Linked DNA regions of Arabidopsis thaliana. The protein of the gene in region 1 interacts with the protein of each later gene in a pairwise test. Each region holds a gene or a part of one and is shown on either strand. Other genes may lie near its edges.

Region 1 (5,573 bases):
TTATTAACTCAACATACTTTAGTGTCAAATCTTAGTTTATGTCAGTATTCAAACGTATTGTTACATCTAACAGGAAAAAGGTAAATTAAAATCTTGACTCTAAAACCTACCAGGTAATATAGAAGAAAGAAAGATGTGTAGATTTTATCTTTTAAAAATGGACCAAATGATTCTGCTATTTCGAGTGTGAGGAGGTTGTAGAAAACCAATCATATTCGACAAAAAATCAATTAAGAAGAAACCAACCACCAAACCCCATTCATTAATTTCCTTTGCTTGGAAGACAGCTAAATTAACACCAAAGAAGGCTTGTTCAAACTCACAGTTACATTTTTACACGGAACCATCCATATACAAAAAGACACACTTGCCAAAAGCTATACTTAAATTATCAAAGTTTTAGTCATGCACTTTAAACCAAAGTGAATGCGACAGTTACTATAATAATCTTCTGATCAATTTACGTAACTCTTGTAACTGTTCATTGCTCTTATTTAACAAAAAGGTAAACGTATTATATGATTCGGAGTTGCATTACCGACACAAACTGATTAAATATTATAATAATAAGACGATGGAACACAAAATAAACTAATATATGAAAAACATTTTATAAAATTTCAACGTTTTATTTTCCAAATTTTGCAGCGGAATTAGCAGAGGAAACATCTGCGGATTCCGAAGCAGGAAGTGGATTGTGATCTCTGAATTGGGTAGTCAGCAGAAGAGTCGAAGGATGAAAATCTTCGCATGACATTCCTTTCTGTTTGAAACTTGAACAGATCGTACTCATTTTCGTCGATCAACACTCTCTCCGACAGAGATGGTGGTGATGAAGCCGACAGTTTCTTAGCCTTACCATTGTGATCGCCCGATAGCCAGAAGAGCCTTGTCGGGATTAGTGCGAGGATTTTCTTGGTGGACTTTTTGGAACGGCGGCGGATTTGGTCGCCGGAGAAAGAGAAATGAGACGGCGGAGGAGTGAGAGGTGGCAGAGTAGGTAGCTCAGAGGAGGGGTGTTTGGGTGTGCCTGGATGAGATTCCCATTCGAAAGGGACGGCACCGGCGGCTCCGTCGTAGTAGTAGATTCTAAAGGAAGGACAAGCAGCTGATACCGACGAAAAACGTTGTTTGGTCGACGGTAGCTTACCGGAGAAGGTGGCGGTGTCTTGCTTTTTCAGTGAGAGTGAAGCTGCCCGCTCAGATCCCGCGTTTGGCATTATTGTCTTGGGAGAGTGAGAGAGAGAGAGGGAAGGAAAGAGAGGGAGAGATGTGTGCATGAGACATATGGAGTCAATCTATCATGTATATATGGGTGCCTGGTGTCTTTGGTACGGTTTTTACTTTTGGGCTTATTTGTTTGGCTTTGGTGTCTATAGAAACTATATATTAAAAGCAAAATGTAATAATTAATGATAGTGAAATAATAGTTTCAATAGTGCGGTTAATTAGCTCTCATAGTTAGAACTTATAAAGATACATCTCGAAGTGTGTTGGTCCAATCCTACAAAGGCAATAACCACTCGATGGATATATAAAGTCATCACAACTTATTAGACCCTTGAACACTAAGTAATGCTACCGGGTACAAAAGAAAACACTCACATATGAATAATGAGGAGATCTAAATACGTCATACTCAAGGCAAGATATTTGTATCACATGTATATAGCAATTAACGATTCATCCATGAGAATATTTACATTACAAGCCAACATATACATAACTTCAACACAAACATGTCATTGATGAGTAGATTTTATTAAGAAAGGTGTGGTTATTGTAGAAGCATTTATTTGGAGAGTAGATAGGACCATTGATGAAAACAATATGAATTGAATAATTGGTTTTTATCTGATTAAATTGGAAAACAGTGTATGACTAAACGAGCCACGACCCATGCATTCCTACATGTGCTCCACATACCTCCGAGCATTGCTTTCCTTAGTATATACACACTGATAGACCCCATGGTCGGTCCATTCTTTTGCATTAATATCTTTCATGTGATATTCATATACTCGCTCCCCTCATCAGAATTTACATCTCTTCGTTAAAGGTTAAACAAGAAGACATAATTACATTTTCTTCCGTCCATTAAAGAAAAATGAGAGATTTTTTTTTTAAAAAATTGAAGGTCTTTAAAGTATTGAGAACCGTGACCTATTTATAAGGTTTAAAACCAACAACCAAATTTCTCATTTGTTGGGTTGTGAAAGATAATTTGGCGAATATCATACAAATGCGATTAATTACGGTTTAAACATCTCCATTAAGGTATTGACAGTATCAAAATAAGGAGAAGAAAATGGAACAAACAATTTTGTCCAGAGGTGTATAAACTTGGAGTATCATATTCTTATAGCAGATGAAATAAAATACTAGTTAGTTTATTTGTTTGGAAAACAAAATAGGTAATGTGAATATAGATTTTAAAAGTAATTTTGATACTACAGCCCTTTAATTAGATTGAAAATAATAATAATAATAAAGAAAGGACCAATCATATGTTTGACAAAAAAAAGGGCCAATCATATAATTCTGTTACCATGGATCTAAATGAGAGGAGACTCTTGCTTTTTCACAAAAAAAAAGAAAAAGAGAGAGAGAGCAGCAACCCCAGCAGCATCGAAGATCGTCGATCGTCGATCGGTTGCTCTCTTTCATTAATCAGATCTAATTGATACCCAAGCTTCTTCATCGGAGGCCGTGTAAGCTAGCTTCTTCTTCTTCATCTTTTCGTACACTTATTTGATTGTTGTTTATGTATCGATTCTATGGAATAAGAGCTTTTAGCACATATTAATTTGTCCCCAGTCTCGTCGTATATGCAGACCTATTTAGCGCTTATGGTTTGATTTAGATCTGTTTAATTTAGCGTTTCAACCTAAAATTGTTGACAACTCAAAATCGGAATCCCCCAAAAAGTGTCTGTTGACTTATGAATATGGCCATCTCCAAATCGGTTTTTGATCCATCATCATTAAATTTGGTAATATATAGATCTCACGAGGAAACATGGGCGGTAGATTTGGAGTCCTCCTAGTCCTCTTCCTCTTGAGCTGGTCTTGTCATGCTACAAACCCGATTCTTCTCGAACCATTCGGTAAGAACATTTTTGAAGGCATCTAGAGTCTCTCTTGCACCTGTTTCTAATTCAAATTTGTTAAAATCTGTTCACTGGATTATTTGAATACGTTACGTTTTCAGAAAGCATTCAATCTGATATAGACATCCTGATGTATGTTTTTTTTTTTAATTGGGTTTAAGAAGTTTGCTCCATATAATATTTGTGTTGATCTCCTATGTATGATTGTTTCGTTTGCAGAATCAGCTCATGATGACAACCAAGTCTGTGAACTATGTGACAAGTATGTCACGCTAGTCATTGATTACCTTCAAGACTACGACAACCAGAATGAACTCGTTGAGGCCCTTCATATCAGCTGCTCTCAGATTCCTCCTCTCAAAAAACAGGTCTTCATTGAGTCCTTGGTTGTTTTTGCTTTCTCTATTCCTTTTCTCAGACGTGGTTATATGTTAACTATGCCCAACTCATGTGTTTGTTGCAGTGTCTTTCAATGGTAGATCATTACACCCAACTTTTCTTCACACAAGTCTCTACTATCAAATCAGACCAAATCTGCAAACGGCTTAACCTCTGTCAAGCTGTGACACCGGCCTTTGCCTCTCAAGTCCATCAAGGAAACTGCGAGGCTTGCCGCGAGACTGTCTCTGAGGTTGTCACCAAACTCAAGGATCCTGAGACTAAGGTTTGCTCAACCTTCATTCCTTCTATTATCACATACCTATTCTGTGTCGCAAACCTTAGGCTTAGCACTAAGAATTATATCAGTTAGAGATATTTATTATTGCTGCTGAAGATTGACTTTTGCCTTGTGAATGTTGCAGCTGAAGATAATTCGGTTACTTCTCAAGGAATGCAAGTCGCTTAACAATTACCAGGACAAGGTAGCTAACTAATAAAGAATGCCCGCAAAGCTCTCTCTATTTAAGCTGAGTTTTGTGATACTTTTATGGATCATCATCAGATAATAACAATGTGTTTGTTTATGATGGTGAATAGTGCAAGAAGATGGTATTCGAGTACGGGCCTCTGATGCTTACGGATTTGCAGAAGTTTCTGGAGAAGAAAGACGTGTGCACTATCCTCCACGTCTGTCCAGGTCCAGCCACCCACCGTGACTACGTTCCTGCGGTGGAGTCATTGGCAGATTCGTAAATTCGGCCACCTTGGTTTTGTCGTCATTCACACTAATACCATGCCATGATCGTGATGCTAATTTAATTTGGTAACCCGGTGGTCATGTAAATACTGATTGATATATTAAAAACATAACTACACGATTGATGATTCTTGTGTGATTTGAAAAGAACGCTGTCTAAAGGCCCATTGTCCATCGATGGGCCTTTTTGCTAATTTCTACATTGCCCATGTTGTGTAGTCTGATTTTCGCTAAAACGTTACGTTGATGCGTGTACTCAATCACTCGCCCACCATTTTCTTCTGTGAAACAGTTGGCAAAAGTTAGGGGCCGCCAAGCTGGTTTAAACTGACCCACAAGCGAATAAATGTCAGACACGTGTAAAGGACAAAGAGAGCAAGTGTCACCGTATCTATAAAAGCTAACATTAGAGGATATTCTTGCTTACGTGTGACATCGTCACTGGTACATATCATCTAAAGGAATCTTTGATCAACACTACTCTGGAAAACAAATTGTATACTATTTATAAATCTGTTGACTGTATGTATATTCAGAATTATGTGATTGATTGACTAAAAGCGACTGATTTTTAACCTTTTATAATACAAACAGAACAGTGTACATATCCAATGTAGTGAAACAAATCCTTTTATTGGGAAATAAAATTAATTTTGTAAATGAAAATTTCGTTAAAACAAACCTTAATGCTTATCGTATATTTATTTAGCTTGAAAACTAAAGAAAAGATGTAAAAAAAAAAGAACTAAGTTTGGTTAGTGTGTGTAATGACGATGAAAGATGATGAGAAGTGATAACTTATTTTAAGGGCTAAGAACAACAACAAAGTTGATTATTAGAAGAAAGAAATAATTAAAAAGCAAATTGCAAACAGCGAAAAGAGAGATGATGACAAAAAATGGTTAGTAACGGCCAAAAGGTAAACAGGTTGGCTGCTCTTTGTTTCCATTAAAATTAGTAAAAATTCCGAGAATGGCATTTTCGCAATTCATAGATATCATCAACTTGTGTGTTTGTTGGCCGATTATAATATAAAGGAAGGGAAACTCTTCTTCTCTTTCTTCTCATTTTCTCTCAATTCCTCGCAGCTGAAGCTATTTGGCATATACTTGTCTTCGCTTTTCGTAGCTCTTTCGCGCATAATAATAACTGAGGTAATTGTTCGATTCTGGTTCGCAGCGGATTTTGTCGATGCTATTGAGGAATCTAGATTTCTGTGATGGATAGATATAAGACATATCTTATGTCTCTGTTCCGATTCGATCTGTTTGTTTCGTTCCTAGTTCGATCTACTTAGATTTCGTCCCATGTTTATAGCTCTCAATC
Region 2 (6,965 bases), 2.0 Mb from region 1:
AGTTACCCATGTCACTCGGGTTCTGTGCACCATGTATGCTTCACACGGGAGACACAACAGATCAATCATCACCGACATGCCCACCAACAGAACAACGCAGCAGCAAGACCCGTGCAGCCTCGGTTTCATCTGATATATTCTGTCCGGTAACATGCAGCCCATTCCCTTCAGTAAACATTCCAATGTGCACCTGCAACGAAGGGACATGTCCAAACTTTGAGACACATGGAACAGAGAGACATAGCGAAGAACACGTCGAATCTTCTCCTTCTCGAACAACAACTGAACAGGAGAAGATAGAAGAAGGGCAAAGACTTGGGAAAACAACAACTTGTTCAAGTATGTTCTGGGGAAGAAGAAGCTGTAGCAGAGAGAACCAATGCAACTCCGAGATCAATGCTTGATCATAAACATATTATTTGTATGTACAGAGAAAGAAAGAGGAGAATCTATATGTCTCCCATCATTTCTTACTTTTAAAATGGGGATGAGCCACAACACAGAGAGTCTTCTTGTTAGGTTTGTAACGTTTGTTTTTGACTTTGGAGAGGCTCAAGTTATTAATTATGGATGATGATTTGTAATTGTCAACATAATGATGGGGTCATTTTGCAAAATCTTTCTATTTTTATTAGTTGGACCCATTTGTTATAGTACATAGATGAAAATATTGAGACTTTCTTATAATTTTCAACCCAAGAACTAGAAGAAGTCAAACAAAACTAAAGGTAATAATGAATGATTCTCTATAGCTCTTGATGAGAAAAATCTGACCACACAAAGTCCAAGTCATTTTCTTCCTCTGCAAATAACTTAATACTACTTTTACTCTTATTAGTTCTTGGATCCAAAAGAAAGAAAAAACGAAAAACAAACAAACAAATGAAGCTATCACTCAATTAGTTGGACTCGAACTGGTTTGGTTTCAGTGATGCGCCAATTTCAAAAAGCATTCCCATTTTTGGCTTTGCTACTTCGAAATCTTCATTTGCAGAGCTAGTCTATATGACTTTAAATTTCAATTACATTACCATTTTTTTTATTAACTTATTATTATGTCATGGATCAATAATTCTATATAGTTCAACCTATAATGAATTTATGAGAAAGAGTGGTCCACTAACCTTATAATCAACTATATTCACTTAATTAGGTTTAATAATCTAATGGGGGTAAAGTCTTTATGTGATTAGAAAAATGGAAACAGATCCCAAAGGGAAAAAGCTTAAACATTCCCAAAGGGGAAAGAAGACATGTGGGGGAACTCTGCTCTTTTTTCTCCTCATTTTTTTAATTTACAATGGACCACCACATTCTCTGTTTTCTTAATTTTAACCCCCTTTCTTAATTATCTTCGAAACAAGAAAGCAAAATTAACTTGTATACTATAAAAATTAAGAATAATGACTATACAATTTTGTTCTGTTTTTGTTCGCAATGAAAAAAGCCTGAACATATGTAGTTAGATTAGATAAATCAAAATCTACTGCTATAAAGTAAATGCAAGAATTCCCAAACATAAAACCACCCCCTAAAATGATTAGCTGTAATCTATCTATAATTGGTTTTGATTGAAGCATCTTCGGATATCACATTAAATGAATGAAAATACACAATTAATTTGACCAGCTTTTTAATAAAGAAGCCAAAACAAAAACTCAAAATTACAATTTGACCATACAACTTTCGAATATTTAGAAAACAAACCCCGTCAGCTTTAATCTGGTACACAGTGGTTGGGATTCCTGCAGATTCGAGCCGTACTCTCTCAAGACTCTGACCCATGCCTTCATCCATATATAACTATTCATCATCACAAATGTATATTTAAAAATTCACGCAAACAAAACAAAGCTTGAAAATAAGAAATATTAAATTGCCGTTACGAAGTCTTATTACGTCACGTGAGTTTCGTGCTTCTCTTTCTCTCTCTCTTCTTCTTCTTCTTCATCTTCATCTTCATCTTTATCGCGCCTAAAAAAAAAACCCTTCCTTTTTCTCTTTAATGGCGTGATTTCTCTTCTCTGCTCTTGTAAAAATTGAAACTTTCTCTGTAAAATCGTCTCTTTTAAATCTCCGAGTTTTCTTCCTCCTTCTCTAAAAGAACATGGCGTTTCTTACCGCATTGTTCCTGTTTCTCTTCTTCTCTTTTTCGAGTTCCGCCATTGTTGATCTTAGCTCGGAAACAACTTCTCTCATCTCCTTCAAGCGCTCACTAGAAAACCCATCTCTCCTTTCTTCATGGAACGTTTCGTCTTCCGCGTCTCACTGCGATTGGGTTGGCGTTACGTGTCTGCTTGGACGAGTCAACTCGCTCTCCTTACCGTCTTTGTCTCTGAGAGGCCAGATTCCGAAGGAAATTTCGAGTTTGAAGAACCTTAGAGAGCTTTGTCTTGCCGGAAATCAATTCTCCGGGAAGATTCCGCCTGAGATTTGGAATCTAAAACATCTCCAAACCCTTGACCTCTCAGGAAATTCTCTCACCGGACTTCTCCCGAGGCTACTCAGTGAGTTACCTCAGCTTCTCTACCTCGACCTTAGTGACAACCACTTCTCCGGTTCACTTCCTCCATCGTTCTTCATCAGCTTACCTGCACTGTCTTCTCTTGACGTCTCCAACAACTCTCTCTCCGGCGAAATCCCTCCTGAAATCGGGAAACTGAGTAACCTCTCCAATCTTTACATGGGACTCAACTCATTTTCCGGTCAAATTCCGTCGGAGATTGGTAACATCTCGTTGCTGAAGAACTTTGCTGCACCTTCTTGCTTCTTCAATGGACCGTTACCAAAGGAGATTTCGAAACTGAAACACTTAGCAAAGCTCGACCTTTCTTATAATCCACTCAAGTGTTCCATTCCCAAATCGTTTGGAGAGTTGCATAATCTGAGTATACTAAATCTTGTCTCCGCAGAGCTTATTGGATTGATCCCACCAGAGCTTGGTAATTGTAAAAGCCTCAAGTCACTGATGCTGTCTTTCAATTCTCTCTCTGGACCTTTGCCATTGGAGCTTTCAGAGATTCCTCTGTTGACGTTTTCTGCTGAAAGGAATCAGCTTTCGGGTTCATTGCCTTCATGGATGGGGAAATGGAAGGTACTGGACTCACTTCTGTTAGCTAACAATCGGTTTTCAGGTGAAATCCCTCATGAGATTGAGGATTGTCCAATGTTGAAACATCTCAGTCTAGCTAGCAACTTGTTAAGTGGTTCGATTCCTAGGGAGCTCTGTGGTTCAGGTTCGTTGGAGGCGATTGATCTCTCTGGGAATTTGCTTTCTGGAACAATTGAGGAGGTCTTTGATGGATGTTCCTCTCTTGGAGAGTTGTTACTTACTAATAATCAGATCAATGGCTCTATTCCTGAGGATCTTTGGAAGCTTCCATTGATGGCACTTGACTTGGATTCCAACAACTTCACAGGAGAAATCCCAAAGAGTCTCTGGAAATCAACGAACTTGATGGAGTTTACAGCTTCTTATAATCGTCTAGAAGGTTATTTGCCTGCAGAGATTGGTAATGCAGCTTCACTGAAGCGGTTGGTTCTCAGTGATAATCAGTTAACAGGTGAAATCCCAAGAGAGATTGGAAAACTCACATCTTTGTCTGTCTTGAATCTGAATGCAAACATGTTTCAAGGGAAGATACCAGTTGAGCTCGGTGATTGTACTTCTTTGACTACATTGGATCTAGGCAGCAACAATCTTCAAGGACAGATTCCAGACAAAATCACTGCTCTCGCTCAGCTTCAGTGCCTGGTTCTCTCTTACAACAATCTCTCCGGGTCAATTCCATCAAAACCCTCTGCTTATTTCCATCAGATTGAGATGCCTGATCTCAGCTTTCTTCAGCACCATGGGATATTTGATCTCTCCTACAATAGATTGTCTGGCCCTATACCAGAAGAACTTGGCGAGTGTTTGGTATTGGTAGAGATTTCACTGAGCAACAACCATCTCTCTGGAGAGATTCCAGCTTCACTCTCTCGTTTGACCAACCTCACAATCCTGGATCTATCTGGAAATGCACTGACTGGATCTATTCCAAAGGAGATGGGCAACTCTCTTAAGTTGCAGGGATTAAACTTGGCGAATAATCAGCTCAATGGCCATATTCCAGAAAGCTTTGGCTTGTTAGGTAGCTTGGTGAAGCTAAACTTGACTAAGAACAAGCTTGATGGACCGGTTCCTGCTTCTCTTGGGAACTTGAAAGAGCTTACACACATGGACTTGAGCTTTAACAACCTAAGTGGCGAGCTTTCATCAGAACTGTCTACAATGGAAAAACTTGTCGGCCTCTACATTGAGCAGAATAAGTTCACCGGGGAAATACCTTCAGAACTTGGTAATCTTACGCAGCTGGAGTACCTTGATGTTTCTGAGAACTTGTTATCTGGAGAGATACCAACAAAGATCTGTGGATTGCCCAATCTGGAGTTCTTGAATCTAGCCAAGAACAATCTGCGAGGAGAGGTGCCGAGTGATGGTGTTTGTCAGGATCCTTCCAAGGCATTGCTTTCAGGGAACAAAGAGTTGTGTGGCAGAGTGGTTGGATCAGATTGCAAGATCGAGGGAACTAAGTTGAGGAGTGCTTGGGGGATTGCAGGACTCATGCTTGGCTTTACGATCATCGTTTTTGTGTTTGTTTTCTCTCTGCGCAGATGGGCTATGACAAAGAGAGTGAAGCAAAGAGATGATCCAGAGCGAATGGAGGAAAGCAGATTGAAAGGGTTTGTTGATCAGAACCTGTATTTCTTAAGTGGAAGCAGATCAAGGGAGCCTTTAAGCATCAATATAGCAATGTTCGAGCAGCCGCTTCTGAAGGTGCGTTTAGGAGATATTGTCGAGGCTACAGATCATTTCTCTAAGAAGAACATTATAGGAGACGGTGGTTTTGGGACGGTTTACAAAGCTTGTTTACCAGGTGAGAAAACAGTAGCGGTGAAGAAGCTAAGTGAAGCCAAAACGCAGGGAAACCGAGAATTCATGGCAGAGATGGAGACTCTAGGGAAAGTGAAGCATCCGAATCTTGTGTCTTTGCTTGGATATTGCTCTTTCAGTGAAGAGAAGCTTCTGGTATATGAGTATATGGTAAATGGAAGCTTAGATCACTGGTTAAGGAACCAAACTGGGATGCTAGAGGTTCTGGACTGGTCAAAACGCCTCAAAATCGCAGTTGGAGCTGCAAGAGGTCTAGCTTTCCTACATCACGGTTTCATCCCTCACATTATACACAGGGACATCAAAGCGAGCAACATTCTGTTAGATGGTGATTTTGAACCAAAGGTGGCGGATTTTGGGCTAGCAAGACTAATTAGTGCCTGTGAATCCCATGTTAGTACAGTCATAGCAGGGACTTTCGGGTATATCCCACCGGAGTATGGTCAGAGTGCCCGAGCCACAACCAAAGGAGATGTCTATAGCTTTGGCGTGATACTATTGGAGCTTGTCACAGGGAAAGAGCCAACCGGTCCAGACTTTAAGGAGAGTGAAGGAGGGAACTTGGTTGGTTGGGCGATTCAGAAGATCAACCAAGGGAAAGCTGTGGATGTTATTGATCCACTGCTCGTATCTGTGGCTTTGAAGAACTCTCAGCTTCGTCTGCTTCAGATAGCTATGCTTTGTCTTGCTGAAACGCCAGCTAAGCGCCCTAACATGCTTGATGTGTTGAAGGCTCTTAAGGAGATATGAGCCATATAACCTTAAATGTTGTAGTTGTTTCTTGTTGTTTAAGTAAACTGCTAGTACTAACCAAACAAGGGAGTGGTAGGGTTTGTATTTGTAATGTTAATGTAAGTGTTCTTCAGTTTCTTCTAAATGTCGAACAAAGAAAAATAGGTATTCCAATTTCCAATTAATTGCACTTAATTTATGATCAGGTGTGAAATAAACTGATGTTATACCAAACCAAAGAAAAAAGTTTATAACCCAAAGATAAAACTTTAAAACCAAATATGCAATGTTTTCATCGGTACTGCTAAATAAATTTGGTTTCAATTTTTTTTCATTTTTTCTGAGTTCAATTCGAGAAAATCATAAAAATAATATATGGATACCTAAGAAAACCAAACATTTTTTATATGGACCTAGCTCGGGAAGTTATTAAAGCACATGCGGTGGTAGGAGTGTCTCGGAGATTAGTGGGCAGAGAAGATAGACTAATCTCATGGAGTAGACCAAGTGAAGGTTGGTGCACGCTGAATACAGACGGAGCGTCAAGAGGCAATCCCGGATTAGCGGCGGCAGGAGGGGTCTTACAGGAGAGCAATGGGGAATGGCGCAGAGGGTTTGCAATTAATATCGGGATATGCTCAACACCTCTTGCTGAGTTATGGGGTGTATACTACGGGTTATTCATGGCCTGGGAGTGTAAAGTATCCCGATTAGAGTTAGAGGTGGACTCGGAGGTTGTTGTTGGGTTTCTTCGGACAGGGATAAGTGAATCTCACCCGCTGTCCTTCCTAATACGCATGTGCTATGGCTTTATATCAAAGGACTAGATAGTCCGGATTTCTCACAAGTATAGGGAAACTAATAGTCTAGCGGATGAGTTAGCGAACTATGCATTTTCTTTACCTCTTGGTTTTCAGTTTTTTTATGTTTGTCCGGATGCTGTTTATTCGGTTATGTTGGAAGACCGGAACGGAATGTCGTTTCCGCGTCATGTTCGTTTGTAATTTCTTTTAGTTTGAATAAAAAATAGGGGACATTGTTCCCTATCACTCACCAAAAAAAATGAAATTTATTAAATTAACAAATTTTATCGTTACAGTTTTCAAATACCAAACTAGGTCTTGGCTTTCGTGTATTCGGATCGAGCTATTCATATTCAGGTTTTTCGGCTTAATTTGGATATTTTAAGATTTTGATATCGAGTTCGATTTGGTTCGGGTTTACCTAAATATTTAGAAAACAAAAATTTTATACGCAAATCTATCAAATTACTTGAAAAGTTTCCAAAAAAAATATT

What was found. Proteins that work in one complex are often made in the same cells at the same time.
Region 2: the proteins of AT5G01800 (region 1) and EMS1 interact in a protein complementation assay, tested with the Arabidopsis thaliana proteins (one large-scale study listed by BioGRID).

Annotation. Positions count from the first base shown.
Region 1 is NC_003076.8:304,404-309,976, forward strand, and holds AT5G01800 (saposin B domain-containing protein), read left to right. Parts: upstream 1-2,535; 5' UTR 2,536-2,711; intron 2,712-3,003; 5' UTR 3,004-3,018; coding exon 3,019-3,106; intron 3,107-3,328; coding exon 3,329-3,477; intron 3,478-3,572; coding exon 3,573-3,773; intron 3,774-3,912; coding exon 3,913-3,972; intron 3,973-4,087; coding exon 4,088-4,243; 3' UTR 4,244-4,886; downstream 4,887-5,573. Other genes in the region: AT5G01790 (uncharacterized protein), read right to left, coding at 654-1,280.
Region 2 is NC_003076.8:2,282,981-2,289,945, forward strand, and holds EMS1 (Leucine-rich repeat transmembrane protein kinase), read left to right. Parts: upstream 1-1,849; 5' UTR 1,850-2,107; coding exon 2,108-5,686; 3' UTR 5,687-5,875; downstream 5,876-6,965. Other genes in the region: XBAT33 (uncharacterized protein), read left to right, coding at 1-404. UniProt on the Arabidopsis thaliana protein: Receptor with a serine/threonine-protein kinase activity required for the specification of the correct number of male archesporial initials and for the subsequent specification of tapetal and middle cell layer identities.